Linked DNA regions of Oryzias latipes. The protein of the gene in region 1 interacts with the protein of each later gene in a pairwise test. Links are inferred from orthologs where the notes say so. Each region holds a gene or a part of one and is shown on either strand. Other genes may lie near its edges. The genes, in order: gcc1, cep70 and znf276.

What was found.
Region 2: the proteins of gcc1 (region 1) and cep70 interact in binary tests that used the Homo sapiens proteins (3 or more experiments, as listed by UniProt). The two-hybrid records come from large-scale screens. The link is inferred for Oryzias latipes from reciprocal best matches to the Homo sapiens genes GCC1 and CEP70.
Region 3: the proteins of gcc1 (region 1) and znf276 interact in binary tests that used the Homo sapiens proteins (3 or more experiments, as listed by UniProt). The two-hybrid records come from large-scale screens. The link is inferred for Oryzias latipes from reciprocal best matches to the Homo sapiens genes GCC1 and ZNF276.

Annotation. Positions count from the first base shown.
Region 1 is NC_019881.2:23,898,280-23,908,830, forward strand, and holds gcc1 (GRIP and coiled-coil domain-containing protein 1), read left to right. Parts: upstream 1-4,515; 5' UTR 4,516-4,639; intron 4,640-4,861; 5' UTR 4,862-4,950; coding exon 4,951-5,286; intron 5,287-5,355; coding exon 5,356-5,997; intron 5,998-6,059; coding exon 6,060-7,307; 3' UTR 7,308-7,354; downstream 7,355-10,551. Other genes in the region: ADP-ribosylation factor 4, read right to left, coding at 263-372, 3,773-3,853, 4,070-4,136. UniProt on the Homo sapiens protein: Probably involved in maintaining Golgi structure.
Region 2 is NC_019860.2:1,157,520-1,167,734, forward strand, and holds the start of cep70 (centrosomal protein of 70 kDa), read right to left. Parts: upstream 6,002-10,215; 5' UTR 5,750-6,001; coding exon of another isoform or gene 5,741-5,749; 5' UTR 5,611-5,740; coding exon 5,551-5,610; intron 5,468-5,550; coding exon 5,368-5,467; intron 5,188-5,367; coding exon 5,064-5,187; intron 3,906-5,063; coding exon 3,725-3,905; intron 1,887-3,724; coding exon 1,711-1,886; intron 1,643-1,710; coding exon 1,583-1,642; intron 1,469-1,582; coding exon 1,375-1,468; intron 827-1,374; coding exon 774-826; intron 700-773; coding exon 631-699; intron 1-630. Other genes in the region: double-stranded RNA-specific editase 1, read right to left, coding at 6,360-6,539, 7,248-7,426, 7,501-7,682, 8,281-8,449, 8,518-8,672.
Region 3 is NC_019864.2:27,729,688-27,740,076, forward strand, and holds the start of znf276 (zinc finger protein 276), read right to left. Parts: upstream 6,749-10,389; 5' UTR 6,617-6,748; intron 6,042-6,616; 5' UTR 5,986-6,041; coding exon 5,754-5,985; intron 4,886-5,753; coding exon 4,582-4,885; intron 4,493-4,581; coding exon 4,446-4,492; intron 4,366-4,445; coding exon 3,946-4,365; intron 3,075-3,945; coding exon 2,993-3,074; intron 2,033-2,992; coding exon 1,949-2,032; intron 1,468-1,948; coding exon 1,348-1,467; intron 376-1,347; coding exon 300-375; intron 1-299. UniProt on the Homo sapiens protein: May be involved in transcriptional regulation.

The DNA.
Region 1 (10,551 bases):
TTTATAAAGACGCCTTTGTCGGACTCCTGATGGACTGACCCCGTTGTGACAACCAGAACTCTGCAGATCCACCAGGACATTCAGAGAACACCTGATGGAGGCTAAGCCCCGCCTCCGTCTGCAGAAGATTCAACCACATTCAGCCACCAGAACCCAGCAAACCCAAAGGTTCTGCTGGTGGTTCGGGTCTTCTTGGCTTTTCCACTCACACATCCAGTTACAGAACCAGAACCACACCCAGGTCTGGTTCTGGAAGCCTTACCTGTGTGTTCTGGAAGTAATGTCTCCACAGAGGTCTGATTTTGTCCTGACCGCCCACGTCCCACACGGTGAAGCAGATGTTCTTGTACTCCACCGTCTCCACGTTGAACCCTGAAACACACGGCAGGTGACGCTAACGCCACAGGTCCCCAACCCCCCAGGGCGTGGCCCGGTACCGGCCCGTGGTCCACTTGGTACCGGGCCACAGACAGAACCAAAATTCCATCTCTGACTTGGAATTTTTCCATTTAGTTTATTTTCGGACACTAAAAGAAGTTTTATTTTGGAAAACCACATCCGTCTGTCTTGGTGCGTCACATGACTTCAAGAGCTAAATTAGCTTAAAAGCTAAAAATCTCACAATGTTTGGAAAGTTTCTTTGAGAGAAAAGATCAGCGAGGAAGAAGAAGGAAACATAAAGTTGCTGTTGACAGAAAAACTAGGAGTTTTCCTCCAAATAGGATTTATGGAGATGGTTGTTCTCACGGACCAGAAGCCGCTCCGCCTGAAACGCCGCAACTGACTCCAATGGTTCACAAGCGATAATAAAGATGCATAAAGATCATCTTGCTCTGTGTCAGAGCTTTGTTGTTTACAACTGGACCTCCAAGTTCATCTTCTATAGATTTATCCAGACCAATCACTATCTTTCATGTCATCAGACCAACGTACGGCCAATCAAATAGTGTGATGTCATTATTAGTCGCAGGCCCCCGAACACGGCCTGAACCAATGATGACATCACAGCATAGAAGAATAAAATTGGTGGATCCCTTGTAAACAAAGCTCCGACATTGAGCGGGCTTTTTTTTTTAAATCCGTGCGGCCAGTGCTTAAAGTCTGACGTTAGACCGGTCCATCAATCTACAGTCTGACGTTAGACCGGTCCATCAATCTACAGTCAGACGTTAGACCGGTCCGTCAATCTACAGTCAGACGTTAGACCGGTCCATCAATCTACAGTCTGACGTTAGACCGGTCCATCAATCTACAGTCAGACGTTAGACCGGTCCGTCAATCTACAGTCAGACGTTAGACCGGTCCATCAATCTACAGTCAGACGTTAGACCGGTCCGTCAATCTACAGTCTGACGTTAGACTGGTCCATCAATCTACAGTCTGACGTTAGACCGGTCCATCAATCTACAGTCGGACGTTAGACCGGTCCGTCAATCTACAGTCTGACGTTAGACCGGTCCGTCAATCTACAGTCTGACGTTAGACCGGTCCGTCAATCTACAGTCTGACGTTAGACCGGTCCATCAATCTACAGTCTGACGTTAGACCGGTGCGTGAATCTACAGTCAGACGTTAGACCGGTCCGTCAATCTACAGTCTGACGTTAGACCGGTCCATCAATCTACAGTCTGACGTTAGACCGGTCCATCAATCTACAGTCAGACGTCAGACCGGTCCGTCAATCTACAGTCTGAGGTTAGACCGGTCCATCAATCTACAGTCTGAGGTTAGACCGGTCCATCAATCTACAGTCAGACGTCAGACCGGTCCATCAATCTACAGTCTGACGGTCCGCCAATCTACAGTCTGACGTTAGACCGGTCCGTGAATCTACAGCCTGATGTTAGACCGGTCCGTCAATCTACAGTCTGACGTTAGACCGGTCCGTGAATCTACAGTCTGACGTTAGACCGGTCCATCAATCTACAGTCTGACGTTAGACCGGTCCATCAATCTACAGTCTGAGGTTAGACCGGTCCGTCAATCTACAGTCTGACGTTAGACCGGTCCGTGAATCTACAGTCAGACGCAAGACCGGTCCATCAATCTACAGTCAAACGTCAGACCAGTCCGTGAATCTACAGTCTGACGGTCCGTCAATCTACAGTCTTACATTAGAGCGGTCCGTCAATCTACAGCCTGACGTTAGACAGGTCCGTGAATCTACAGTCTGACGTTAGACCGGTCCGTGAATCTACAGTCTGACGTTAGACCGGTCCATCAATCTACAGTCTGAGGTTAGACCGGTCCATCAATCTACAGTCAGACGTAAGACCGGTCCATCAATCTACAGTCAGAAGTTAGACCGGTCCGTGAATCTACGGTCTGCCGTTAGACCGGTCCGTGAATCTACAGTCTGACGGTCCGTCAATCTACAGTCTGACGTTAGACCGGTCCGTGAATCTACAGCCTGACGTTAGACCGGTCCGTGAATCTACAGTCTGACTTTAGACTGGTCCGTGAATCTACAGTCTGACGGTCCGTCAATCTACAGTCTGACGTTAGACCGGTCCGTGAATCTACAGCCTGACGTTAGACCGGTCCGTGAAACTACAGTCTGACTTTAGACTGGTCCGTGAATCTACAGTCAGACGTTACACCGGTCCGTGAATCTACAGTCAGACGTTAGACCGGTCCATCAATCTACAGTCAGACGTTAGACCAGTCCATCAATCCACAGTCAGACGATAGACCGGTCCGTGAATCTACAGTCAGACGTTAGACCGATCCGTGAATCTACAGTCAGATGTCAGACCGGTCCGTCAATCTACAGTCTGACGTTAGACGGGTCCGTGAAACTACAGTCAGACGTTAGACCGGTCCGTGAAACTACAGTCAGACGTTAGACCGGTCCGTGAAACTACAGTCAGACGTTAGACCGGTCCGTGAATCTACAGTCTGACGATAGACCGGTCCGTGAATCTACAGTCAGACGTTAGACCGGTCCATCAATCCACAGTCAGACGTTAGACCGGTCCGTGAATCTACAGTCAGACGTTAGACCGGTCCGTGAAACTACAGTCAGACGTTAGACCGGTCCGTGAATCTACAGTCTGACGTTAGACCGGTCCATCAGTCTACAGTCAGACGTTAGACCGGTCCATCAATCTACAGTCTGACGTTAGACGGGTCCGTGAATCTACAGTCAGACGTTAGACTGGTCCGTGAATCTACAGTCAGACGTTAGACCGGTCCGTGAATCTACAATCAGACGTTAGACCGGTCCGTGAATCTACAGTCAGACGGTAGACACCATGGCCTCAAAAAGGTTGGAGACCTTTCCTGACAGCTCCCATCTCTGGAGAGATTCAGGTGGTCCACATCCAGACCTTAAGATCCACACACAGAAGTTTGGACCTGAAACTTTTTTAGTTCCAGAGAGTTCCATTTGGAGTCTGTGGATTTGAACCCACACTGTACCAGCATCAGGGTGGACGCTCTACACTAGGCCACTCAGCTGTGTGGACTTTGTAGAAGTCCTTTAAGAAACTTTAAGGAAGTCAGAGAGAGCAGACTTTCAGTACAACCAGTACCAGCGAGAAGTACCAGTAAAGATGCTGGATCCAGACTGCAAAGCATTATGGGACAGGATGACTTCACACAGGTCAACCACTACTGGGCTGTGGATCACACCAAGGATTCACGTGACTCCACACCTGCTCACCTGGACCGTGAACGCCTCGCTCAGACCGATGACGTCACCGATAACTGATCATCGAACGCTCCCAGTACCAGACCTGTACTAAGCCCCGCCCCTCGGGGGCTCACTCACCGATCGTGGGGATGGTGGTGACGATCTCTCCGAGCTTGAGTTTGTACAGGATGGTGGTCTTTCCGGCCGCGTCCAGACCCACTGAAACAACAGACAGCCATCAGGTTCCGAACAGTTTCCGGTCCACTCCGACGGGGGCGGAAACACGGCTGCCGTTAGCTTAGCTAGCTCCGCTGGCCGGAAGTTTGATGGATTTCTGCTGAGCGGAATGCCAACGGGTCCGGCCCGAGCGGAGTAACCCTAGCGGGGGCAACCCGGTTCGTTTGGACCTGCGACCCGGAGCCCGGCGGCGCTCACCCATCAGGATCCTCATCTGCTTCTTCCCGAACAGCCTGGAGAACAGCGACGAGATGGTCAGACCCATTTCAGCGGAGGTTCGGTTCGCACAGCCTCGGTTGGACTGGTGGGGCAGCTCCTCCTCGGTGCCACGTCCAGGCCAACGCGGAATAAATGACGTCACAGCCGCCTCACAACTTTATTGACAGGGTTGAGTGCTGCGTTCAGTGCCCAAGGGAAGAACTGTGTAAAAGGCTTTTCGGTACGTTTAGAAAATACTATCTTCTATTTTTTTCGAACAATTTTATTTATATGATTGAAATAAATAAGATCGTCTTTCAAGCAGAAAGTACTAGAAGTCCTAAAGCCCGTTTTCACTTCATTTGTTTCTGAGTGGTGTTTGCTCCTGAAGGCAGCACTATGCCCCGCCTCCTTCTCTTGCAGCACTTCCGGGTTGAAGGAACGTTGAACATGGCGGCCGAGCGGCACTAAAGCCTTCAAACTCATCAGAGCTGGCCCAGAGGCGGTTCTCCGTCCGGGATTTACTTTTACAAACCAGGACATCGAAGAAAGTTCAGAAACGAAGCGAAGGTGAGAAGAAAAGACATTTTTAAAGCCTTATGTGTTCCGCCTTTAAACCCAGAATGTTCCGGCTCCAAACGCAGGTACCCTCCCGGTTCGGAACTAAAGAATCGTCAGTTAACTGAGGAAGAAGTGGTCTCAGTTTGTACCAAACCGGGCCGGTCTGACTGTATGGATCACACGGCCTTGAAGGAGAAATAAGGACTAACGTGAGAAAAATTCTATTGACAGATTTGGACTGGTTCCAGGTTCAGAGATCCTGATGGATCCCGGATCCTGACGGAACCGGAGTCTCCAGTCTCCTGTGGCTCGGCTTAGACATGGATAAGTTCGGGATGAGTTTTGGAGGCGGGCCCTCTAGGAAGGAGCTGCTGGACACCATTGAGTCGCAGAAGAAGCAGTTGGTCCAGTACCAGACCCGGTTCAAGGATGTTGTCCGGGCCTACAAAAGCCTCCTGAAGGAGAAGGAGGCCCTGGAAGCCAGTCTGAGGGTCCTGACTGTCAGCCAAGAGGTGGACCTGAACCAGCAGCTCACCACTGGAGGCCCAAACTTCCTGGAGGACTGCAGCTCGGTGCACAGCGAGGACAGCGGGAGCGTCCGAGAGGACCGGAGCGAGGAGGAGCAGGGAGAGTCCAGACCTGGACCAGACTCCACGGTTCGTCCGAGCACGCTCACTCCAGCCTGACCTCCCGTCAGCAGCTTACCATCGGGCTTTTCTCCACAGCCGCCCCGCTCTGAGCCGGACGTGGACATCGGAGAGGCGGAGCAGCAACAGGCCACGCCCCCTCAGAACCTGGAGCCGGAGCGCCGCCTCTCCCAGCTGAGGAGCCAGCTGAGCACACTGACCGCGGCGCTGGCCACCGTCACGCAGGAGAAGTCTCGGATGGAGGCCAGCTTCCAGGCCGACAAGCGGCAGCTGAAGCAGGAGGTGGAGGAGCTGCAGGAGCGGCTGTCCGCCGTGACGGCGCAGCAGGAGGCGGAGCTGGGCGACCTGCAGCAGCAGCTGGCGGAGTGCCGCGCCCGCGTCATCACGCAGCAGCACGAGCGGCAGCGGGAGCAGGAGGACCACGCCCAGCAGCTGCGCGAGCTGCAGAAGCTGCTGCAGCAGGAGCGGGACGCCCGGCAGGACGCGGAGCTGCGCCTGCAGGACGCCAGCTCCGCCCTCATCGCATCCTCACAGGATCGAGGGGCGGAGCTTGAGCTCCACCTGAGCCAGGTGAAGGAGCAGAGAGACGAGCTGCAGAGGCGGCTGCACAGCCTCGAGGAAGGCCAGAAGAAGCCCGACCCCCGAGTGGAGGAGCTGCAGAGGGAGGTGCAGGAGCTGAAGACGCGATTGCATCAGCAGGTCCAGACGGAGACCAAGAAGGTGAGTCCGACACGGCGCCGCTCAGAACCGGACCAGGACCTCCAGCGTTCTCTGTGTCGCAGGCGGCCGTGGCAGAGGAGCGCGCCGTGGAGCGGGCGAAGGCGGCGGAGCTGCGGGTGGCGGGCCTGGAGCAGCGGGTGTCAGAGCTGTCAGAGCTGCTCGGGTCCTGCGAAAAGGCGAGGCAGCGGGACCAGCACGCCGCGCAGAGACTCCGGGACCGGATCCTGCAGCTGGATACCGAGAACAAGACGCTGGCGCTCGCCGCCTCCGGCAGGTCCGGCGCCGACCTCCGGCTGGACGAGGCGCAGCTGGACGTGGAGACGCTCAAGGGCAAACTGCAGACGGTGAAGAAGCTGCTGGTGCTGGCGGCACAGAAGAACCCGGACCAGAACATTCAGGACCTGACGGAGCCAGCCGACCACCCGCCCTCGGCGGCGGTCCAGCAGGAGCTGCGGCAGCTGAAGGAGGAGTTTGAGCGCTACAAGCAGCGGGCGCAGGTGGTGCTGAAGAACAAGAACGCCAAAGACGGCTGCCAGGCCCAGGAGCTGGAGGAGGTCCGGGCCCAGCAGGCCGAGCTGCGCGAGAAGTACATCAGCCTGCGGATCCAGGCCGACGAGGCCGAGGCTCAACACCGCCGGCAGCTGGAGGAGCGGCAGCAGCAGATGGCGGCGCTGCAGCAGGCCCACCGTCAGGATCTGGAGCGGGCCGAGGCGCTCCACCGTGAACGGCTGCTGTGCCTGGAGGCGGAGCTTCACAAACACCGGAACCGCGCCATGGTGCTGCTGGACGAGAAGGACCAAGAACTGGAGAGGCTCCGGGCCGCAACCCTGAGCTGCAGGCGGGAAACCCAGGAGGACGGAGGCGCGGAGGCTAGTTCTGACGGCGAGGGCGACGCCGTCAGCCAGGCCCTGCAGCAGGCCACGCCCACGGAGTCCACGCTGCTACTGTACGCCCAGCAGCTGGCCCGCATGGAGGTGGAGGCGGGGGCTCTGCGGCGGCAGAAGCACCAGCTGGAGGAAGACCTGCACCAACTGCAGGCTAAGCTCATCGCCAACGCCGAGCGGCACGACGAGGACGCCGCCCAGCTCCGAGCTCAACTCGACAAGCTGGTCCGCGACCAGAGCCGCGAGGGCGCCAACCTGGAGTACCTGAAGAACGTCATCTACAAGTTCCTGACCCTGCCGGACAGCGGCGGGCGGCAGCAGACGCTGGGCGCCATCCTCACCATCCTGCACTTCAGTCCGCAGGAGAAGAGCGATGTCCTGAAGCTGCAGGGGCCTGCCTGGTGGGGCCCCGCCCACAAGAAGTGAGACCGCCATTGTCAACCGTCTATTTGAATTAAAGTATTTTTCTGCTCTGTCGGTCTCCGTCTTTTCCCAGTTCTGCTGGACCGGACGGTCCGTTAGCAAAGCTCGTCTGAAAGGAATGTGCAGCCAATCAGGAAACAGATCCAGCAGGGGAAGCGCAAGTTCTGGTTCTGGTTGACAGGGACTGGGTCAACCTGAGCATTTCTCAAGCTTTCATGCATACAGATGTCAGGGTGGTTCAGACTTTATTGGACCTTCACAGCCTCCAGGTTCTGTAAACACTTCAGGGGATCATCTGTCCAACAGCAGAGCGGCGACCCGGTTCTGCGGGTCCAGAAACCATCAGCCCGTTTCAAAAACCTCATGCAGATTGTCCCGCAGTGATCCGATCAAAGTTCTGATGAAAGTGTCCAGGTTCTGTAAGACTCCGTCTTGGACCGGCAGCTGCTGTCTGCGAGCTTTAATCTGAAAGGAACAGGAAGTAGAAAGGTGAGGGCAAAGCTTTCCGTTCTAAAACTCAATTGAAGGGCAGATGTGGAGAAGAGAGAGAATCTGCACAAAGACGTGTGGACACTAAATTCATTTCAAACGGGACATTTCTGAGTTTTTGTCTCTAAACTGCTCATTTTAGAGCCGTTTGACGTACGTCTATAAAACGTAGAAATGCTGCGTTCAAGCGGTGTTTGAATGACGGGAAGAAGGAAAAACAAATGTTGGATGCTAGAGCGGGCCCTGAACCTTTGTCCTCTCATTTGAAACTTCAGTCTTTTATTTTGATGGTTCCCCTGAAGGAAGTGCTACATGAAGAAAGTTTCAGTCATTCATTAAAAATTCATTCAATAAAACTATTTACCAAATAAAAAACAACCAAATAACTGTGATTGTCAAAGAAATTCAATCTAGTGGATCCTCTGCCGTCATGGTCCGGGGAGGGGGGGAGGGGGTCAGGGATCAAACTGAGCAGCTGATTCCTGCACGTCTGTTTCTCATCCAGTAAGAATGAGAAAAGCAGCAGCTCAGCATTTCTCTCCAGAACAGAATTCCCTCGTTCATCGCAGGAGTTCTAAAATGAAATCCAGGGAGACGTTTCTGGCAGAGAAACTCCTCTGCACTCTTTCTACGCTTCTCTCTTATTTAAATTCTCAAGCCTTCATAGACATTTAGCCCAGCATCTTAGAATGAAAACAAAGACCTGATCGCGATCAAAGATTTCTGACTCGGCAGAATTGATTGACAAGGTCTCCAGCCAATCAGCACACAGGACAAGGTGCACTTTTGGAAAAAAAAAAGAAAAAGAGGCATAAAGATGAGCTGTGCCGTAGAAAGGTGTTAGGATCATGTAATTATCATTTACTTACAGGCTATTATCAACAGATGGTCTCAGTTCAAAAACAATAACTGAAAAGTTCTGACTACACAAGATATGATGTTCCTGTTCTGCTTGATTGAATGACCAGCTTTCATGGTATCGACCAATAAAAGCAGACTGGATCCACCGGGAAGGCAGCTTTGCGCTGTGACCTTCTGCAGACGTCTCTCATCTCCTGTGTGGTTCTTCTCAGAACCCCGACTAAAGGAAGCCCGTCTCCTGATTTGACAGGGACTTTAGAGGGTTCAGGTCGGGGCACAGACTGCAGAACGGTGGACTAAAACGTGTTCTATGTGGGTCTCTGATATTGTTTAGGGGCCGGACCAAGCATGGAGGCGGGCCGGATCAGGACCACGGGCCGTAGATCGTCCAACCCTGCAGCCACAGAAGCGGCTGGAAGACAGCAGCCCGGTTCTGTTGGGTCACCGGGTTTGACTTTGGTGGGGAGGTCATGCTTTCTCCTGACCTGATTTTGGAGCAGACTGGGAGAGGAGGTGGAGGAGGAGGTGTCATAAGGAGAAACTCACCAGCTTCTCTCTGAGCTTCAGGATCAGGTCCACAATCTCCACCTCAGATTTGTCCCTGGTCCATCCCAGCAGGTCCTGAGGGGAGACGCCTCAGAGTCAGGACAAAAAGACCAATCAGCTGTCGCGGCTGGGAGGGAGGGCGGGGCTTACCGCATCACAGATCACCTCCAGGTGGAGGCTCTCCAGCTTTTGCATCATCTCCTTGTGTCGCTGACGGTACCAGCCATCAAAGTTGGGAGATCTGAAGAACTTTCTGAGAGCAGGGGGACATGGACCAGAGGATGGGAGGCGGGGCTAATCACTCACTGACCACACATGACGACACCACCGGACTCACCTGTACAAACCCACCCAGTCCCCTCTGAGCGGGGAGGTAAGCTGAGGGCCTGCATGCTCCAGCGTGGACAGGAAGTCTTCCTGGACGAAGGGGCGGATCTGAGGAGGAGTCTGAGCACAAACACACCTGAGAACCTCTGCGGAGGACGGGATGCTGCACCTGCTGTTTACCTTCCAGGGGGTCACGGATCTCTGCAGGGGCATCAGGCTGGCCATGTACCGCTCCTGCCACACAGAGCACAGGGCTCAGGTCTCTGTCATGTGCGTCTGCTCAGGTGGGAGGAACCACCACACCTGCTCTTTGCGCTCACCAAAGGAATGATGAAGCTCTGCGTCAGCTCCAGCAGGTGGCGCCTCAGGATGGCGCTCTGCGCCTCCGACGGCCGCCTCCTCTGAATGCCCTGCAGATCCGCATAAACACTTCAGATGAAGCCACGCCCACCCAGGTGTGTCCACCTGCTCACCTTCAGCAGTCTCTTGATGAGGATCTTGTCTTTGTGTAGGAAGGTTTTGTAGGCTGTGTAGATACCTGTGCAGACACATGCATCAGGTAGCAGACGTGAGCAGAGGCTCAGGTGAGTTTGTTCTTACCTGGTTTGGTGTCGAGAGTCTTTAGTTTGGACGACTTCTTCACCTTCACCTGCTTCGGTAGGTCAGCTGCAGGACGATATTTGATGAGCTACACCAGACAAGCGTGTGGCACATGTCATGTGTTGGTGGCGTGTTTATAACGTGTAGGCAGCGTGTTTACAGCATGATTTGTCATGTAGGTAGCGTGTTTACAGCGGTCTGTTGTCATGTAGGTAGCGTGTTAACAGCGTAGTGTTGTTGTGTAGGTAGCGTGTTTACAGCGTGTTGTTGGCATGTAGGTAGCGTGTTTACAGCGTGCTGTTGGCATGTAGGTAGCATGTTTACAGCGGGCTGTTGTCATGTAGGTAGCGTGTTAACAGCGTAGTGTTGTTGTGTAGGTACCGTGTTTACATCGTGTTGTTGGCATGTAGGTAGCGTGTTTACA
Region 2 (10,215 bases), on another chromosome or scaffold:
TTTTAAACAAAGATAAGAAGAGGCCCCTCCCCTTACATGACGCTAATCCCTATTCGGCGTACGGAGGGCACTAGCAAGAAACGGAACCATTTTGCGCTGAAATCGCCAGATCTGCACCACTTCGACATGCGCTGGTAAAGAGTAGAAGAAGCCCCTCCCTGCTGGTCCAGTGTGAACCCCAAATGCCTTTAGCGAGTGTTTTTGTGTCCCTAGCTTTAGACTTCAGACAAAAACGTTCAAATATAAAGTCTGTCAAGATTTCATTTTTTTCAGCTCCCAACAGTATTTTAGGGAAACTAAATGTTTCTGTAGCCTGAAAGGAGCAGAAAAGAACGATAGGAAGACAATATTTTATATCAAAACCAATGATTTGATCAGGTTTCTCTTTAAAACAGATTCATTTGGATCATTTGAGCAGTAAAAAGTCAAAACGATGCAAATAGAATGAAGGTGGAAACTGTTTTTGGTCGTTTTTGTTGTCATTATTTTCCCCAAATGATCAAATTACAACTTAATGTGGTTTAAAAAAATCTAAAATAAATAAATCTAAATAAAAATGGACTATAACCAGTTCTATGAGTAAATATCCCAAAGAGAGTCCAGAGCCCACAGCTTCTGTTGCCGCCGTACCTGGCGGCGCCCGGCTGCAGCCCCTCCAGGTGGCGCCGTCTGCGGCCCTTCGGCTGCTCCCGGGTCGGTCTGCAGAGGAACAGAGGCAGCGTGAGGATCAGCCTCCCAGCAGAACCCTGAGGAGCAGCAGGAGCTCCACCCACCTGGAGTCTAGCTCCGCCTCCAGCTGCGTGCGCCTCTCCTTTTGTGGGAACACCTGAGGAGGACAGCGCCACCTGGTGAGAGCCGGACCCTAAAAGATAAGCCTAAAGACTGTTTTAGAGGCAACTTTTGGTTTTATCCTCATTAAAGATAAAAAGAAATCCTTCAAAGTAAGAGATGTTTCTGAAGAACTTTAGGAAGCCAAGAAAAGATCATGTGACCTCAAAACTCAACCGATCCCACTTCAGATAAATGCTTCAACGTTTGTATTTTATCAATCTTCCCTCAGAAAAATCTGATTCTTTGGCTGAAATGGATATTAATATTTTATGTTTACATTGATTGATTTAAATGATTTTTTAGAAGTCTTTTTTTGCCAACGTGACGTTTTTTGACCCAGACTTTTATTTTGGTAAAACACTTTAGCTTTAATCTTGAACTGGGCATCTTAAGACAATAAAAGTCTTTGCTTAAATGAACTTCCTGTCAGGTGGACCAATAATTCCCTTTGGTCTTCCTCCAATCTTCCTCTTCAGCTTCCAGGAAATGGAATTTCCAGCTTTTCCTGTTGGAAGTCAAAGATTTGGATTTGGGAGTTTTTGCCTTGAGGTCTGTTTTGAAGGATGAAGGAGCGCCGGCGGCGGTCCGTTCCCCACCGTCCTGCAGCTCCGAGGCCTCGGCTCCTCCTCTAGCAGACCTGCAGAGGAGAAGGTTTCATACTAAAACCCCTTTGGGATTATTCCTAATCCTAATCTCCTCGTTTTGACACTGAGGCTCCTGAAAGTGAGGAAGAGGAGGAGTCCCGCTTCACCTGAGCTCCTCCATCAGTCGCCTCCTCTCCGCTTCGTAGAAGTCGATGACGTCCAAAACCCTGCAGACACAAACGCTGCTGTGGTGAGAGCCGCAGCAGAGCGTGGCGGCGGCGGGCGGCGCCCTCACCGCTGATCGGCGGCGGTCTGCAGCCGGGACGTCTTCCCGCAGATCTCCTGGAAGCTGCGGTTCCGCCGGGCCAAGCGCCGCTCCTCCTGCTCCACGGCGAAGCGCAGCTTCCAGCGGAGCTTGGCGGCCTCCTCCTCCTTCCTGCGCAGCTTCTGCTGCAGCTGCTCGCAGCGGCGCTGACGGGATCACAAACACACGGCCTTAACCCAGAACCAGAACCACAGAGGGATCACAAACACACGGCCTTAAACCAGAACCAGAACCACAGAGGGTTCACAAACACACGGCCTCAACCCAGAACCAGAACCAGAACCACAGAGGGATCACAAACACACGGCCTTAAACCAGAACCAGAACCACAGAGGGATCACAAACACACGGCCTTAAACCAGAACCAGAACCACAGAGGGATCACAAACACACGGCCTTAAACCAGAACCAGAACCACAGAGGGATCACAAACACACGGCCTTAAACCAGAACCAGAACCACAGAGGGTCCAAAAACACACGGCCTCAACCCAGAACCAGAACCAGAACCACAGAGGGATCACAAACACACGGCCTTAAACCAGAACCAGAACCACAGAGGGATCACAAACACACGGCCTTAAACCAGAACCAGAACCACAGAGGGATCACAAACACACGGCCTTAACCCAGAACCAGAACCACAGAGGAAGGACCGCAGGTCCAGAGCTGAAGACGGCAGTCTGTTGACCAAAGCTCTGCGCACTTTGACCCCAACCACTTTCCAGAACTCCTTTACCATATAAGGGATTTCTGGATGCTAGGCTCGCATCGCAATATCAGCATTTACGTTATTCATATGCTAGGTTAGCATCAAAGTTACGTAATTTATTTGAAAAAAAAAAAAAGAAAATTCACGACATTCATTTGGGACGATTGCATTCAAATAACAGAATTTACGTAATTTTCTTTGCGAGGTTCGCAACCAAAGAAGATCAAGTTTACGTCGTTTCTATTCGATATTTGCAAACAGACAACATTAAAATTGATGTATTTCTATCCTATGTTTATTTCCAAATATCTGCGTATTATTTGATTTATTGTATGCAATGTTTACAAACAAATAACATAAATTTCACTGAAATACCATCAAATTTACGTTATTCGTAAGCAAATTTCCCAAACAAATAAATACTTAAAATCGACGTTATGAAGTATATTTAACGTTAAAAATTTTCTTCCAAAGTTAATTTTTGTATATGATCATTGCTACAAAAAATGACAAATGTTTATGCAATATTTGGGTATAATTATTAACGTAAAATGTACGTCATTTGTAAACAAATCCCATCCAAACAACGTAGATTTGGGGTATTGGATGTTACCATAGCAGCGTACATTTGTGTCAGGAATGGGAGGTCCAAGCAAAAAGTGTCGAGTCACCGATTCTACTGCTGGATATTCACAGTCGTCATGTCAGTGACAAAAATATTTTACAAAAGAACACAGTAGAGTTCGCTTACTCCCTATACGACTACAACTGAAGGTTTGTTGACCTTTGACCCGAGGAAGAGACCACCATCTTGAATGTTTCGTAAAAATCATCTTTAGGAGCAGCTACACATTTAAACTCCTAGAAAAGAAAAAAACCTTTAAACTAGAAGTTTTTGATTTAAGCATGGATCAGCTATATGAATATATTAAGAATGTGGGCGTGGTTTAAAAAACAAAATCGATCGAAATACTAAATGGTTGCTATGGAGATAAAACAAACCAAAAAGCACCATTGTGAAAAATGTTTTTTTAAGGAAAGTGTCACATCTCATGACGTCGCAGCTCTGATCAGGGTATCAGGGGCAGAGGGGCATGTAGAAGTTGATTTGTCTCTTATTTTGAAATCTGTTTGAGGGACAGCAGTACTGGGAGAGTAGCTGCATTTCAAAATAAAAGGTTTCATTGAATTTTGTTTTTTTTATGCTGAATTTCTACGGTTTTTGATGAAAACTGGGAAGTCAGATGAATGAAGGCAAAGATCAGGGACTGACTATGGCCTCTGCGCTGTGGCGCTGCAGCTGCAGCGTGCGGCTGTGCGTCTGCGCAGCCCTGCAGATGCAGCGGTCCTCCAGGTCCTGGACCTTCACCTTCACCTGGTCCAGCAGCGCCTGCAGCTCCGAGGCCCTCTGGGAGTGCTGGGCGGCGCGACTCATCTGCTCCTGGACCTCCTCCCTGGAGAAAAAAAATAAAGAAATAAAAATAAAAAAAGACCAACAGGAGAAAAGCCTCTGTTTTCCTGACTCCGCCCCCTTTTTTAAGGCTTCATTCCTGCTGGACAGAACTAAAACTGACATTCAAAATACTAAAATGATTATTTACAGATTGATTGATGATTCTGATCATTTTAGTGTCAAACTATGAATAAAAGGTAAATAAAAGTAGTAAAAAATATATTTTAATATCAATTTTAAACTACAAGTTAAAACTGGTGGTAAATAAATGTATATATATATATATATATATAATTTAAGAAATCCATTGAAATTTATAAATACATAAATACAATAAAATATTTCAAAATAAGAGCATGGATTTATCAAACAAGAAATTACCAATAAAATACTAAATGACAAAAAAAAAAAAAGTATTAACATGCCGAGTATTTTTTCATTTTAGTTACATTTGACAAGCAAACAAAAAACAAGTAAAACCTAAAAGTAAGGATGCCTGATTTCATTTTTTTAAAACCATTTGTTATTTCAATTTGAACTTTATTCAGTTTGAAATCCTTCTATAATAGTTTTTCATTTCCCATCATTAAAACTGTATTTGTTTTTTTTTAACCTTTTTAGACTTTTGTAGAATAAATAAAGTTTTTCGGTATTTCATGCAAAAATACATCATTTTTAAAGAAATGTAAATATTCTTTAAACCAATTTAAATGTTTTTGAGTTTATATGAAAGTTGATGGGTTTAGTTTTATAAGGAACTTTTACATAAAACCAGGATAAACAAAAGTCTAACAGGAAGTGCGGATGTTTGATCAGAAGTTGACAAAAGTTGGTTCTGCCGTCTGTCAGTCAGAGCTCACGGTTCCTGACAGGAGATCCTGATCCTGGATCTCACAGAGACATTGTCCCTGAGGGAGCCGTCCTCCCCTCAGCTGATGTTCGCCAGTCGTTTACCAAAATAAAAGCCTCTGTGTGATCGGATGGGATCAGAGATGCGGTTGCCACGGTTACGCTTGGACAGCAGACGGGGGATTGGATAACAGGACAGGTGGTCTGCAGACGACCAGACCTCACTGATGACCACAGAGAAACCTGAACCCCCACAATGCTGCAAAGGGGGGGGGGGGGGTCATCAGTCAGAGCTGGGGGCGCCACTCACCGGAGCCGGTTGTTGGACCCGACCAGCTCCTGCAGGAGAGCCTGCCTCCTGTCCGAGTCCGCCAGCAGCGTCTCCAGAGTCCGCCTGAGCGCCGCTGCGGACTTCCTGTCCAGCAGGCCCAGTTCTGGAAGCACAGAGGAGCAGGCAGGAACCAGATCATCAATTTAGAACCAAAAATGGATTCTAGTTTCTGTTTAGTCCCAATAATGCCGCATTTGCTGGGTTTTTAACCAAATAAAGGCAGCTTTGGACCATTTGGGTTGAATTTCCTGCTGGGCGGTGACGTCATCACCTGAGCTCTCACCTGCAGGGTTCTTGTTCTCCACGGGGTCCGCAAAGAGCACCGGCCGGAAGCCCCGCTGCTGCAGCAGCCGGTTCAGCGGCTCCCACTCCGCCTGCTGCTCCTGCGACACACACACAAACACACAACCCGGGTCAGACCGCCCGGGTCAAAGCGGGACCCACCTGGTTCCCACCGCGGCGCTACCTGGAACTGCCTGCAGGTCCACAGGTAGACAAACGTCCCATTTCCCCCCGGGGGCCGCATGTCCGCTCTGAACCCCAACAACCTCCACTCAACTGAAAACGCTCGTGCTCTGGCGCGCGCGCGCGTCTGAAAACTGAGCCCCCCTCCCTCCTCAGTTTTCAGTTACCAAGCGGAGTGTCACGTGACTCACCTGCAACATCCCGTCAGTCCCCTGGAACAGAACCGCTTTCCTGAATGAGAACCGTGGAAATGCCGGTGGAAAAGGTTCGGTTGGACTCTCGGCACCGTTTCGAACTCTCCGAATAAAGGAACCGAACCAGTCCGGACTCCGTAGAAACCTCTGAAAAGCACTTCAACAGGATAAAAACAACAAAAATCCTCTTTAAAACCCGCCACGAACACAACTGACTGTTTGGGGCTCAGATTCAAACCGTACGTGATGACGTCACTAAAATAAGCCAATGACAGACAAGATTTTTTTTAATGCAACTTTATTGAACAATTTGTTTCGCTCACTCACGTTTTTTTCCTCTTCATTTATTTATAACATTTCAACATCTGAGCGTCAAAGCTTAACAGAACATAAAAAAGATCAAACATTTAATTCTTTTTTCCTCCTAATAAACAAATGGTCTGAATGATTTCCATGTACGAGGGCTCCCCTCCTGCAGGTGGCGCTGTTGCGTCAGCCAGAAGACTTTGCACATGTCAGTCAGAAACAAGGTAAAACTGAGGATATCCATTTTTGGACTGCTGGGTCTGCTGCCAGTCCCGTCTCCATGGCAACCAGGAAGCTCATCTGAAAGGAGTCAGGAGCTGCTCAGGGAGAACCGGTCCTGCTCTGCGGGCTTCTTGACCCAGATGCCCAGTCCAGCGTCAGCCAAAGCTCTGTAGAGCGTGTGCTTGGCGGAGCAGTACTCCTCGGCCGCCCGCTTAGCCTGGTGGTAGCTGCTGGGCGGCGGGGCTGAGACCCGCAGGAAGGAGGACAGCTACACGGACAAGAAGACGGAGAAAAACTCTCACTTCTGCTGTCAGACCAAAGAGGATCCTCCTCATATTTAAGGCTTCACACATCTATAGCTTAAAAAAGGAGTTTGAGGCCTCAAACAAAGATTTAGAAAGTAAAGTGTGTATTTCTGTCTGGGATGAGGTTGTGGAAAAGCATCAAAATCATTAAAAATGCTTTTTTTTTCTCTCAAACTGAAATGTTCATGACATCACCAACATCTAGTTCATTTGAGCGTTTTATACGACTTTATATAACCACTGAAAACGTTAATGGTTTATTAAAAAAATACATTTATTTCCCCCTCAACAAAAATTGTTAAGAAGAAATTGCATTGTGGACTATATTATACTTATACTGGTGAGCATCAATGGACAGTGGTTGTTTGCAGTGACTTCTGGGAAATTTTCAGGACTCTCGATTTTGAAATTGTAGATTCGGACAGCTGTACAGAATGCTGCTTGAGCTACATAGTGCATCATTTAGATGTAGCCTAGTATTTGTTTTTTTTAGCTACTTAGTTTGATAGCAAATACAATTATTAACTACTAAGCTAATAAGGAAATATTTATTTGGGTTATTAGCAAATTAGCAAATACTATTTTTTGTTTTTTTAGCTGATTATCTTTTCAGCAAATCCAATTTCTTATTTAGCTAAATAAAAGCTAACATAATGCCAGCATCTGCTCACCCTGCTGTGCAGCTGCATCCAGCGGCAGTAAAAGGCGCGTTTGCAGAGTCTTGACGGTCCACCCATTTCTTCTTTCCCCGTGGTGGAGTCAATCACCTCCACATCGTCGTCACCTGCAGTCCAGTTCTCGCTGAAGGGTGGAGCTCTTGCGGGCTGCCGGGCCTCTGGGTTACTTATTCCTGCAGAACCAAAGTCAGGGAACTTTGATGGAGGCCGTGACCCAAGAACCGGGCGTTTCCTGCATCTGTCTCACCGCTGAGCAGCGGCCGGTTGAGGCAGAAACCTGGCGGCAGGCCCTCCAACGGACCGATCCTGCCGTACATGGCCCTGGACATGTGCGCAGCATGGTACAGGCTGCCCACGATGATGCTGGAGAAGTACAGCGGCTCGGTGAAGTAGCTCATCAGGGAGCCCTGGAACCCCAACACGTTCCACCTGTACCTCACCAGAGACGCAAGAATACGATTTAACGCAATCGGAGACATCCAAGTTACCAACCACTAACTCATAATGATTGACAGGTCAATCGTTTACCCTACACCTGCATTTATAGAGTAGCGGTTTTATAAAAGTAAAAAAACAAACACACGACGGTATTTTATTCACAAATTTTTAAGAATTTATCATGAAAAAGTTTGATAAAACAAATAAAATTTAAATTTGACGGAAATAAAACCAAAACCAAAGAAGAAAAAAAACAACAAAACTGGAATTAACCAACAGAAGAGGAACAGATCGCAGAAAAAGCGCAACGAATGTGAACATGCTGAAGGGGTCGTTCTTTATGGAGCCCTGCCCCCGCTATTGCTGCCCCCTTACAGGCCCCGCCCTTATAAGGGAGCAGCAATAGCACAAAAAACAGGGGCCAGAATCTGAAAAGTAAAAAAAAAACAGGGACTAGTTTGAAAACAGGGATAACTAGATCCCTAATCCCATAAAGAATCCCAAAGTTCCATTAGCAGCTAACAATCCGCGTGCTTTTATTGTGAAAGTGTTCCCCTATAACCTGGAACATCAAACCAGAGTTCCACACCTGGCCATTTTGTCGCTGCAGGACATGGTGAGCAGCCTGTCCCCCCGTCGAAGCGCATCCCAAGTCTGGAGGGGTTCCTTCCAGGGAACTGGGACGGTCCCTTCCCCAGTCTGGACTTTGGTGCGCAGAACCCCACGGGTCCTTCTGCTCAGGGGTTCGTCGCCCGAACCTAAAGGGACAGAGGGGATGAAGCGGTGGACTCTGCGGCGCTGGACTTGGGACGAGATGTTAGCTCACCCTCCACCCCCGTGTCGTGGGGGGAGAAAATGCAGGCGTCCCCGCAAGGGGAAGCGCTGACGTACAGGTGGAACTGAACTTTGTCCTTCAGCCTGAAGCCTCGCCCACACTCGCCTCTTCTGAAGATGGACTGCTGGTGGTGCTCCTCATCCTCACTGAGGTTTCAATGGTGGAGAACGTTAGGAGGAGAGATCATTCTACCAAACTAAAAGTACAAAACATTGCAAGTTTTTTTTAAACGCTGTTAAACGTGGACATGAATTAATGAGGTTTTTTCTGACTTCTAAATGTTTTTTTAAAACCACATTCGATTTCAGTACGCTGATTCTAAGGATTCGGACGAATAGAAAATTGGCCATAGATCGGGAATCTTGCTTCAGGCTTTTTCTTTTACAGCTCTATTCTGACTTGGAGTCATTGAATTCTAGTTGGGCACAAAACGCAATTATTAATGTTTCTTCCATGATTAATTTTCAGACAGTTGACACTTTCGTGAATTAAAAAGGGGCACTATTAATAAGTGACTACCGTCCCATATTTTTCAAAGCTCATCTAGTTTAACTTTCAATGCATGTTCAATGGTTTTTGTATGTAGAGGCCGAAAACTGACTTAAATGTTGGTGCAGCAACGCCTGAACGCAAGAGTTTTGAATGTGGAAGCCTGAAATGCACATATACGCGTGTTCACATGACTTTCCATTGAAACTGGCTCCTTGAACACGCGTTTCCAAGGGCAGCGTGAACATAACATAAGGCTTTACTCTAATTAACGACTAGGGTGTAGTGCAAGGGCAAATACTTCCCGATATACTTGCCACACAGACACACAATGATGGTATGTTCCATTCTCAACAAGCCTTGAGGGAACAACTTCAGATGTAGCCACTCTTCTCTATGACCCGCCATAGACACGGACAACCTAAAAACACCCTTGGGGGTCAACCCCATACCGGTGTGTGTGACATTGACATTATATGATCTGTACAGCCAATGCTGGCGTGTAAAGGGCGGGTTTATGTCTCCTCATGGTGTGTTAGTGTATTTGTTCTTTCACATAGACACCTGTATCATCAGCGTAAAACCAGATCCACTAGTTCATCTCTGGCTGACAAAACATTCGACTGAGAAACGGACGTCTAAAATGCAGAGATACAGAATTGTGCGTTGTTGGTGTGTTGCTGCCGCCGCTGGTGTTCAGGACTTGAGGCCTTCATGGCTCCAAAACCCTACAGAGTTGAACATAAATCTGTTCAAAGTCATCTATTGCTTCAGTCTATAAACCCTCCGCTCCATTAGTGTTACCCAATAAATAAAGACAAATAAATAACATTTACAGGTAGTTTGTCCAACTTGGGTTGCCGTACATGATGGATATATTTTTATGAACTGATTATTAATATCTATATGTGTGATCATCAAAGCTTCATGGAGCCAAATCCAGTACTTTCAGAGTCTTAGTGCTCATAGAGTGACAACACATTCATGACTATACAAAACCACACTGACTCGTTTGAGGATTCTCCAACTATATGTAGCATCAATAGCATTTTACGCAAACAGTAAAGCCAAAAGGGTCTGTATTCGATTCCGTAACTTTGCTCGTAACGGTCAAATGATGGAGCAATAAAATCAAATATATATGAAAAAAATGACGAATGAACAAATTAAGCTAATTTATATAAACATAACATTTGATTG
Region 3 (10,389 bases), on another chromosome or scaffold:
GCACGACAGACATTTCAGGTAATTACAGAGAAAACTCTAGAACTTTTTTTTATCATAATGTTGTTGTAAGAGTCAGAATTCTTCATCACACTTGATATTTGATTAATCCTAGATGGGAAAGCTACAATCGGTTGTCTCTCCCCACATAAGATGAGTGCTTAATTGTTTATTTGCACCTTTGCAGTTTAGAGAAAAATTAACAAACTGACTCCCTTTTTTTTATGTCTTGTTTAGAATTTTTATTTCAGAAACGGTAAAGACAAACAGGAGAGAAGACTTTCTTTAAATGAATGAAGTACCTTAAGTCCATCTGGTGCTCTGTAGACGGCAGTACAGCCTTGATACGGACACTTGTAGATGTTTGGAAGTTCCTCCCTGAAAAACATCAGAAATGGCTGTAAGTTGTTGTTTACTTAAGACCCCGGGCTGAACACTGGTACCGGTCCTTGGGACAGTGGGTACCGGGCTGCAAAAAAACAAAACACCACCTACATTTTTCTGTGTTTTTTATAATCTGACTCTGAAGGATGTTTTATTTTGCAAAACTACTGGATTCTCTCCACCACATCCGACTCATTTTGGACGCGTGTCCCGTTACTCGGTCGCGTGTTGAAAATCCATCCACTGCTTTCTTGAAGCGGCTGCTCTGACCGCTAAATGGAAACCCCCTAAAGTTACCAAAAAACAAACGTATTTGGAAATTTTTGTTTGGCAGAAACGATCCAGAGAGGAAACAGAAGAAGCTTCAAAATAAAAGCAGTCTTTACTCCAATTCAATTCAATTTTCTTTCTATAGACTAATATGACAACAAGAGTTGTCTCAATTGGATTCATACCGGTAATTGTATGAGAACATGGAATCAGTCATAAAATTCAATAAACTAAACTACACAGACTAAGATAAATGGGGCCCTTAGACCCTCCTTTACCAAAATCCAGGTGTGGATTTATTGCTACATTTGTTTCACAACAGTTGTCATACGAGGCTGAGATTGGCGTCTGATTCTTTAGCTTCCACTTTGACAGTTATGGGTTAAAAGAAAATCTAGATTCCATTTTAATGGTTCCTACACAAAATCTAGTGTTCAAATAAAGTTTAAAGCAGCTGCAGAGATTTGACAGAAAACAAAGATAAACTTTCCCCTTAGAGGTGTTAGGAAACTGTGAGATTTAAAAATACATAAATGAATAAACAAATCGGACACGCCCTTTAGCCTCGTACAGGCCGCTCCGTGGCCTGGAAAAGTTTGGAGCCCACTTACTTAAAGAATAGATCTTCTTGTTGTAACTACAGTACAATGCATGGGTGGAGGAGATGCTCAGAATAGTGTAAATCTCAGCACAAACCCTTTAGGTTTGAACTTGTTCTTCCAGCCTGGTTTGGGTCCAGGTTTCTTTCTGACTTTGGGCTCCTCTGTGGATTTAAGGCTCTGTCTCCTCTTGTCGGGGCCGTTTACTCTGCGAGCTCTGGAGGAAAAAATAAGAGACCAAATGAAATCGTATTTATTTTCATCCTGAGAATTAAAAGCTCATTTAAGGGGGTGAGCTTCCACAAATCATTGGCTCAGGATACATTAAAATGAGAAAACATTTTTGTTCCAGAAATACTGAACACATACAAAGGACAAAAACTAAAATGTTTATTGGACAGCAGAGTCCATAAAACTACCATAAACAGCCGGCCATTCTTTCCCTGTGGCGTGTTTTTAATGGTTTTATTCCAAATAGTAGGAATATAAAGTAATAATTATACATTTCTCTATCCTTCATATTCTTAGTTTGTCCTTCCAAAGGTCCCTATTGCTCAGTGTCATCTTTATATGAACATATTTTTACTGATGAAGACCACCTGCTTTCATCATCCCAGCCTTTTAAGAGCTCAAAAATCCCTTTAAGTTCTTCTAACTTTTTCCCGCTCAGGTCCGTATAAAAGTCATTTTTGACCAACCTCTTTTCAGCGTACGGTTCAAACATCTCCTCGTCTGACAGGCTTCCCTTTGTGCCTTCTTCACACTCTTCCTCAGAGACGACCCTGAACACACCAAACCCGTCTCAGTTTGAAAGCAAGTCGATGCTAAAACTTAACATTTGAAGGAAAAAGAATTATTAACCCCATTAAATTACTGTGATTACACCTCAACTGTATCAAAATACGATCTTTTTTTATACATTTTCATTGACCGAAAACAAGAATTCATGTCTTCATATGGGGTCGCATGAGGATCAGCTTAGAGAATAAAAACCAGGTTAAAAATTAATAAAATTAAGAGTTTTAAACTTGAAACTACACATTATAAACTTAAAATAAATATCCACAATTTGATTTTGTTTAATATATATATATATATATTAAATATGAAAAAACAAAAATTAGAAATATAAAGCAGTAGAAAAAAATATTTTTGTTATTTAGACAGTTATGGGTTTAGAGTTTTATTCAAATCAAGTTCTCTGTATTTCTTAGTAATAATAACAAACGTTAAAAAAAAAAATTTAACTGTCAACACAGGTCCAAAGTGCTGTTCACTGCAGATAAAAACGTATAAAGGAAGACACAAAATACATTAAACGTGTACAAAGAAATGCATATAAAGTTACAAAGTAACAACAAAACATCTCACAAACTTCTCATAAAAGAGAATAAAGAAAGAAGGAACTTCTTTACTGTGTGGGCTTAAATCTAAAAAGTGGTGTTTTAAATTAATTTACAATTATTTCTTTTCTTTGAAGTTTACAATGTTAATTTTAGAGTTTAAAACTGTTTTCGAATTCTCAATTTCACAATCTGGTTTTTTATTCACTTTAAGCTGATATGACCCATAATTTCACTTTAAGATTTTTTTTTCCATTTACCGGTCAGGTAAAAGAATATTTACCAGTACAGAAATAATGTTCAGGTGATTTGGGCACTAATTGGTTTTATTATGAAATTTGAAGCCGGGCTGTTTTTCAACTTGACAAATACTTTAAGGTAAAAAAGAAATCCACTCACCGGTCAGACAGATCACTGTCGGCAGTTTGGTCCTCCAGCTGGACCGGTGCTGGAGACGTGGTCTCCTCTGGACCCGCACAGTCTGTCACGGAGAAGAAACCAGAACTATGTAAGTCCAAGACTCTGACGGATGCATTAGAGCCCAAATAGATAGAAAGAAATCAGCGGAAAACTCCTAATATTTATACAAAAACATGAGCAATCATATAACAAAAGGACTTGAAGTGAGAAAAAGCATTTATCAGAGTATCCTCAGTATCATTAAACCCAGTTAAATACATTTTATGTTGGTTTCCTCTCACAATCTAGAGAACAATGGATAAAATTGCTGATATCTCTTGGTTAAACTAAGCCTTTGTCTGAATTTCCTCACTACTCCATGTAACCTCTATCTAGTGCTCTGAATTCTAATGGAGTTCAGACACATGCTTTGTTGGGTTTTTTTTTCATTTTCTTTTTTCATGTTAAAGCCTTTGGTTGTATTCAAAGGGAAAATCTGTTCTGGATTATCCAAGGAAAAGGACTCTGATTCACTTTAAGCAAACCAAATGTGTCCAGTCTGAATACAGCCTAAAACTGTTTTTTTTTTAAAATATTTTTTTACGTTCACTTAACCAGATAAGTCAAACCTCATTTACAAGACCTGGACCTATCAACGTGTTTTTTGGATTGTTTATATTTGATGTGATGTAATGCGAAATGATCTTCAGCTGCGTTGTTGAATTAAATGCAGGCTTTTATTTTCCAGAACCCGTCAGTGTAAACATGTTGTTTGCTGGAACAGAAACCGACTTTGTTTTCTGTTAATTTAGAAGCATTTTTTTTTTTTTATTTTGGCATTAAATCAAAATGCTTAAGCTGTGCAGCATCAGGGTTTCAGACAACCGCACCCTGCATCCCGCTCCATGGTGCATTTAGTGCAGCCGGAGGACTTTCTGAAATGCAGGTCTCACCTTCACTGCTGCCAGTCCACTCATCCGGAGCAGAGTTCTGCATCTGCACTGCAGCTGCAGGTAGACCACTCTGACGCTGAGAGCTCACATCTTCCAATGACGTCCTTCCATTCCCAGGAGGTTGTTTTTCCTCCTCGTCATCCTGCTCCTCACCCGACAGTTCTCCATCACCGATGCCCCTCCCCAGATCTCCACCTTTGAGGCTCTCTGCGCGGCTTAAGCATGGAGGAGGGGTGTAGCGAGTGTCCATGATGTATCTGTGACCGTCCACGCAGCCCCACACAGCCTTAACAGAGCCCCAACACTGGCCCTCCAGCACCTCCTTCAGGTCGGGGCAGAAGCGGCAGGCTTCCCCGTGGTGGTGCGCCCAGGACACCAGGCTGTGGAGGCACTTTGGGTCTGAGGTGAAGGAAGATGGAGCTGAAAGAGTGAAAATGAGTTTGAGTAAATGAACAATTCACCCGTTAGAGCCAAGAAGAGAGAGAAATGTTTTCCTTTACTTTTGGAACTGTAGTTCATTGTTGACTCTGGACACTTTGCATTCTTCCTGAATAACATGCAAAAAAGATATTTGTGTATAGCTCTGGATTTGTTTAAATAGTGACTCATTAAACTTTGGTTTTTGTTCTGACTCACTGGATTTTTAGATTCTCCTTTCCAACTGGTGGGATGTTTACTCTCTGGAGGAACCGGATCAGGATGCCGTGGCACTTGTAGAACTTGGCGTGGCATTTTTTACAGATAAACTCCGACAGCCGAGGGTCCCGGTCCAAGCGGACCCCGACCAAGCGCTGGAAGTCTGAGTGAAACAGAAGGGGCGACTGGGTCGCAGCGCCAACTGTGTCCGGGGAGTCCTGAGGCAACTTGTTGAAGGCGTTCCGCAGACTGCGAGGGGAGAACTTCCCATGGCAGAGTCGACAGACGGCAGCAGACAGTCTGCCTGTAGATAGAAAACTATTACATTTACAGCTTTAAACGGCATTACTGAGATTCTCCTGAAGTTCTTTAAGGGATTTTTCTTACACCTGGAAAATATTTTGTAGATAACCTGTGTCCTTTTCTAAGACATCGTTTCTGCAGAGCAGCAGTAGTTCAATAGGAGCAATCTCACCCCCTTTCCCGTCACCCATTACTCTCTGTTGACACGCACTCACCAAAGCCCCTCACACCCCCAACCTAAGATTAAAGGGCGATCAATAATGGAACTATCCAGCTGTACAGCTTTGATCCAGATGCCAGTTCAGATGAGGAAAACAAAAACGTTCATGGGAAACTAATTTCCAGTAATAAAAAGAAAAGGCTAAAAAAAACAGAAAAGGTAGGTATTATACAGGTATGACATCACTGATTGGATGATAACCTTTGTTCACCTTTTCAACAGGAAGTTATTTGTCATGATATCTTCAGACAGAAGAGATTTCTTTAGACTTCTGGCCACAGTCACTGAAAAAGTGAATCAACTCTTTAACACAGTTTTTTTTTTTCAAACTCAAAGGTCATTATCATCTTTTTGATTTCTGGAAATTACTTTTATTTTCCACATTTTTTTTGGGGTCTTTTTTTACGTTTTGGTTTCTTTAATTTTGTTTTAATTTCTTAATTGTCGTGATTTGTTTTTGCGTTCGGAGATTTGTTCATCTGATTTGCACTTCAGGGCCACCGTAGTTTCCACATTCTATCTTTTTAAAACTTAGAAATGAGTATTAACAACAACTGCCAACAGGAGGCACACGAGTAGTGGCTGCCATTTCCAGCTGAAAGAGCAAATCTTCAGCACCTGTGAACCCCAGCTCCTCTGTGAGACTCACCTGTAGAGCTGCACATGCTCTCTGCATGTTTCTGTGCTTCGTCAGCAGCCACGCTGAAATTTGTGCTGGCGGTTTGATGTGTTTCTGCGCCGTCACAGCCGTCTGCGGCGGCAGCTTGACCTTTTCTGGGTCTCCTTTTGCTGCCGGTGGGCCTCTTCTTCTCGTTTGTTTCCCCCGTCGTCTGCAGCCATGGCGACTCTTTCGATCTGGGGCTTCTGCTTTTCTTCTTCATGCCTTTTATTTAGGGCTGGACTGTCAGCAGCTGCTCTTATGATGGAAAATCTGCTGCTTGAGTTCAAATGAAAGCCACATATAGTTATGTAATAAATGTAAATAAAATTAAAAGGCTTAGCTCATTAGGATTGCTAGTACTACAGCATCTGTTAATATTTTTTTTATTTTATAGTAAATGAATATAATTACACTTAGTGAAAGGTTTTATAACTTAAAGGTTAATGTTTTAAGATTTCAAATGACTACATTTAAAATTTTTATGATAAATTACTCCCACAACCCCTAAAGAAACCTCACGTCACTATGATGATACTATGGTTCTTAACTTGTTTTACATTCACGTTGAGCATTGGGAAATATTTTATTTTCACAGCCTTTAAACACAAATTATTATTTCTTATATTAAATGCTATAAATCGATGCTGTAAAGCTATTCTTTTACAGAAAATAAAAAAAATCATCAACAAGGGTCGATGACATGAACACACAGTTAGCATTGCATACAAAAACATCCCGTTAGCCCAGCTCGGTTAGCCTCTTACTCTTACTGAGCTTGCTCCGAAGGTTTTTTTAACTCCAGAAAAACTACAAACTCCTGAAGCTGCATTCAAACTAAAAGCGAAGCCTACCTTAAAGGTGCATAAATCCTATATCACGAACAGCATGTCGTGTTTTATCCAGTCTCATAAGATACTCATATTCTGCCTCAGCTCGTTTGTAAACATTGTTCCCCGGAAGAGCAACCAGACGGACAATCGGAAACATGGAGCAAACAGCGCCACCTAACGAGCAGGTGGACAAACGAACCGAACGGTCAATGCTTAAACCTGATGCGTTTTACAGAATAAATGCCTTTTTTTAAAGCAAATTATCAAATAGTAATTTGGCATTTGGAATTAGAATTAATTAATTTCATCTGTTAAAGAAAGAGGACAAACAAAAGAGATATAAATCTATACATTGATATATCGAACTTTTTTTTCTTTTCAATTCAATTCCTTTATTTTAAACACAAATGAAAATAAAGAAAAAAAGGGGTTACAATAAAATAGTCTGGATTTAAATGAAAACAAAAAATAAAATACATACTTATCCATGTGTATACTTCACACATAGACATATAGATTATGCTATTTTAATTTCTTTAAATCATAAATAGACATATTTGTACTTATACAAACGATACATGACACAAAAGATATATTAAATGCGAAGTTTTTGAAAAACACTTTAATGAATTACTTGAAAAGGAGTGGGAGGATAATCCTTAATCAGTTTATATCAAATCAAATCAAATCAAACTTTATTTATAAAATAGCGCTTCTCATGCACTTTGTGCAGCTCGAAGCGCTTTAACACTAAAAACAGTAAACACACAACACTATAATGTAAAACAAAACTACTTTTGTGAATTTTTTAAATACAGTAATAATAAAACCTGCTTTTATTACTTTTCTTTTAATCTACTTTAAAATCCTTGTTTTATGTTTATTAATTTTGGTTTATTATTCTGCCAAACCGCCTGGCACCTCCGAAGGGGAAAGCAGTTCTCTGCAGGCACCGTTTTCAGTGCAGGTGGGGAGCTGTTGACTTCGACTGGGGACATTGTGGGGCGGTGGAAGGAATACTTTGAGGATCTTCATACTGACAAGCTTTCTTTTGAGGAAGCAGAGGACAATGACTTTGGCGTGAGGCTGTCAATACTGGACCAGCTCTACACCCTCTTTAGGGTGCTGGAGGGTTTGTGGGAGTTCGCTCATCCAGTCTATATGTGTTTCGTGGATTTGGAGAAGGGATTCAACCGCATCCCCGTGGTATCCTGTGGAGGCTGCTCTTGAATTATAGAACAAAAAGTGATGCAGCTTGTTACACAACAATAGACCAGACCTGTTCTAGAACCTGCTCTTGGATGTCCCACTGACACCCTGTCAGGATCAGAGACAATTGTAGCCCCATGAGAGGGTGCCACCCACAGGTACAGAGCACGTTGAAAGTCCCAGAGTTTTTCAACTTTCCCTTCTGGTTGGCACTGAATATTAAAATATTATCTGACTCTTTCAATCCCCTTGGTCGGTGACAAAGTCAAAGGACAAAAGCTTTTGGACAAAATTCAGTGGCGGCAAATGATGATTAGGAAGTGATGTAGCAGAAATGTTGGATTCCTGTATTTTAAACACCTCTGTGTTGTGGGTTACCATTACAAGCATGTCGAAACAAACAAACGAGCAGTTGTGGTCTCCAGCACACACGCTAAACTAAACTGGTCGACTCTGAAAAAGGAAGAGGTTTATTATTTGAAGTTTTAAAAAGTACTTTGCAGCAAAGTTGCTGCATTATGTATATAGATTTTCAAAGAAAACACACTTCCTATTTATTCTTTCTTCTCTGTTTCTTGTTTACTTAAAGTAAAAAAAATGTAAACGATAAAAAGGAGAGATTTTCAATTCATCACTTAGAATCATTGTAATATTGTTTTATTCTTTTAATTCTGACAGACCTGCTGCGAAAATAACATATTTAAGTAGTTTGTACTTGGTGTAGAAATATGAATAGCTAGATGTTAAGAATTGGAATATGGTAATTATGTAAAATGAGAGTGGGGTTATACATATTTGCTTCCTCCTTTTCCCTTTTTATTTATTAATATCAAACTATTTGACAATTACTCTATTGAATAGATTGAATGTGTTATGTGTGTACTGCATACATAAGTGCAAATATGTTTATCTAATTAAGAAAAATTATGATATCAAGAAGATAGCATCATTGTCTTTTCTTTCTTTTTATGACCTGTATCTATTACATATTTTGTTTTGTTCTTATTACTTATTTTGTGACTGTGTTATGTGGCATGAATTTATTTATTACACATTCTATTTTAAATTCTTATTCTTATTTTATTTTATTCTTAAACTTTATATATAAATTATAAATTATAGTATAAATTATATTTTATCATGTTTTACAAACATAATAAATTAGGTACTGATCAGAAAGCATTTTAATGTCCCTATACTTGTGAAAGTAAAAATAATCCATCTAATCTAATCTAATCTAATCTAATCTAATCTAATCTAATCTAATCTAATCTAATCTAATCTTTGTCTTTGACCTAGAAAATGACACATTAATGATATGGTCTCCATATTTATTTAAAAGAAAAGAAGCTTAATCAATTATTGAAAATGGTTAAATTGATTAATTTCTAATGATATTACTTATCTTATTCCAAAAATTGATCCATGATCTTTCCAAATGTAACATCATTTTGCAAATTTTTTTACTTTTGATACTTGATCAATTTTTGCAATGAAGATTTTTTTAAACAGTGTTATGTCTATTTTACTGATATAGTTTTTATTAATAATATACATGATTTTTTATAAGTAACATAATCTGCATGTATTTTAGATAAATGATCTGCATTTGCCATGTTGATTTCTAAAATAGTTATTTTTTACATAATCATTTATGTAATTCATATTTGTCACGTGCTTTATCGATACTTCAGGATTCTTCTGTCTGATAAAAGTTATGAAGCGGATAATGATAAATCGTATAATAAAATGGTTACGGTATAACGGGGTGGGATTATATGAATTCGCTTCCTTCCACTCCCTTTCAAGCAATATTTATTAATATGTCTAATTCTCCTCAGTTCGATACATCATTGTATGAATGTATAACTGATGAATGTATAGTTTTTGTGTATTATTCTTATTTAATTGCTTGAAATAAACCATTTCAAATAAAAAAAAAATCTAAATTTTTGCGTCAGAAAAAATAGAAATATTAAAAATATTACAAACAAAATAATTTATCATTAAATGTATCATTGAAATCCTGTGGGTTCTTTCTTTCTGGCCACAACGTACTGTGAAGGTACAAGGAAATTGTGATGTCATGATCATGTTGGTTCTGCAATAGACCTGTTATAAAAAGGGCAGCAGAAGTGCTGAGACTCCATAAGATCCAAGAACCCAGTGAGAAGAACATCGTCCTCATCTCCTCCTGGTCAGAAAGAACGCCATGAAGACTCTCTGCTTCTCTCTCGGGCTGCTGCTGTTTGTTGTCTGCTGCAGTGATGCCATGCGTAAGTTCTCATGTTTGTTCCTCATCCGAATTTTTACGTCTTCTTTTCTTGAGTGATACTAACTTTTATTGTTTTGGTCTGTTCAAGCCTTTGGAGTTTCTGCTAGCACAGGTCCTGGACAATGCTGCTTTGACTTCAAAAACATACCACCACAAAAGATTGTAAAAGACATCATCCAAACCCATCGTCTTTGTTCAAAAAATGCGTTTATGTAAGTCTGTAGTTGATACACAAAAATATGATTAAAGTGATATACCGGTATTTGAATGTGAAATCATTTGGGGGGTATTTTGAAACTTCTGTTGGTTT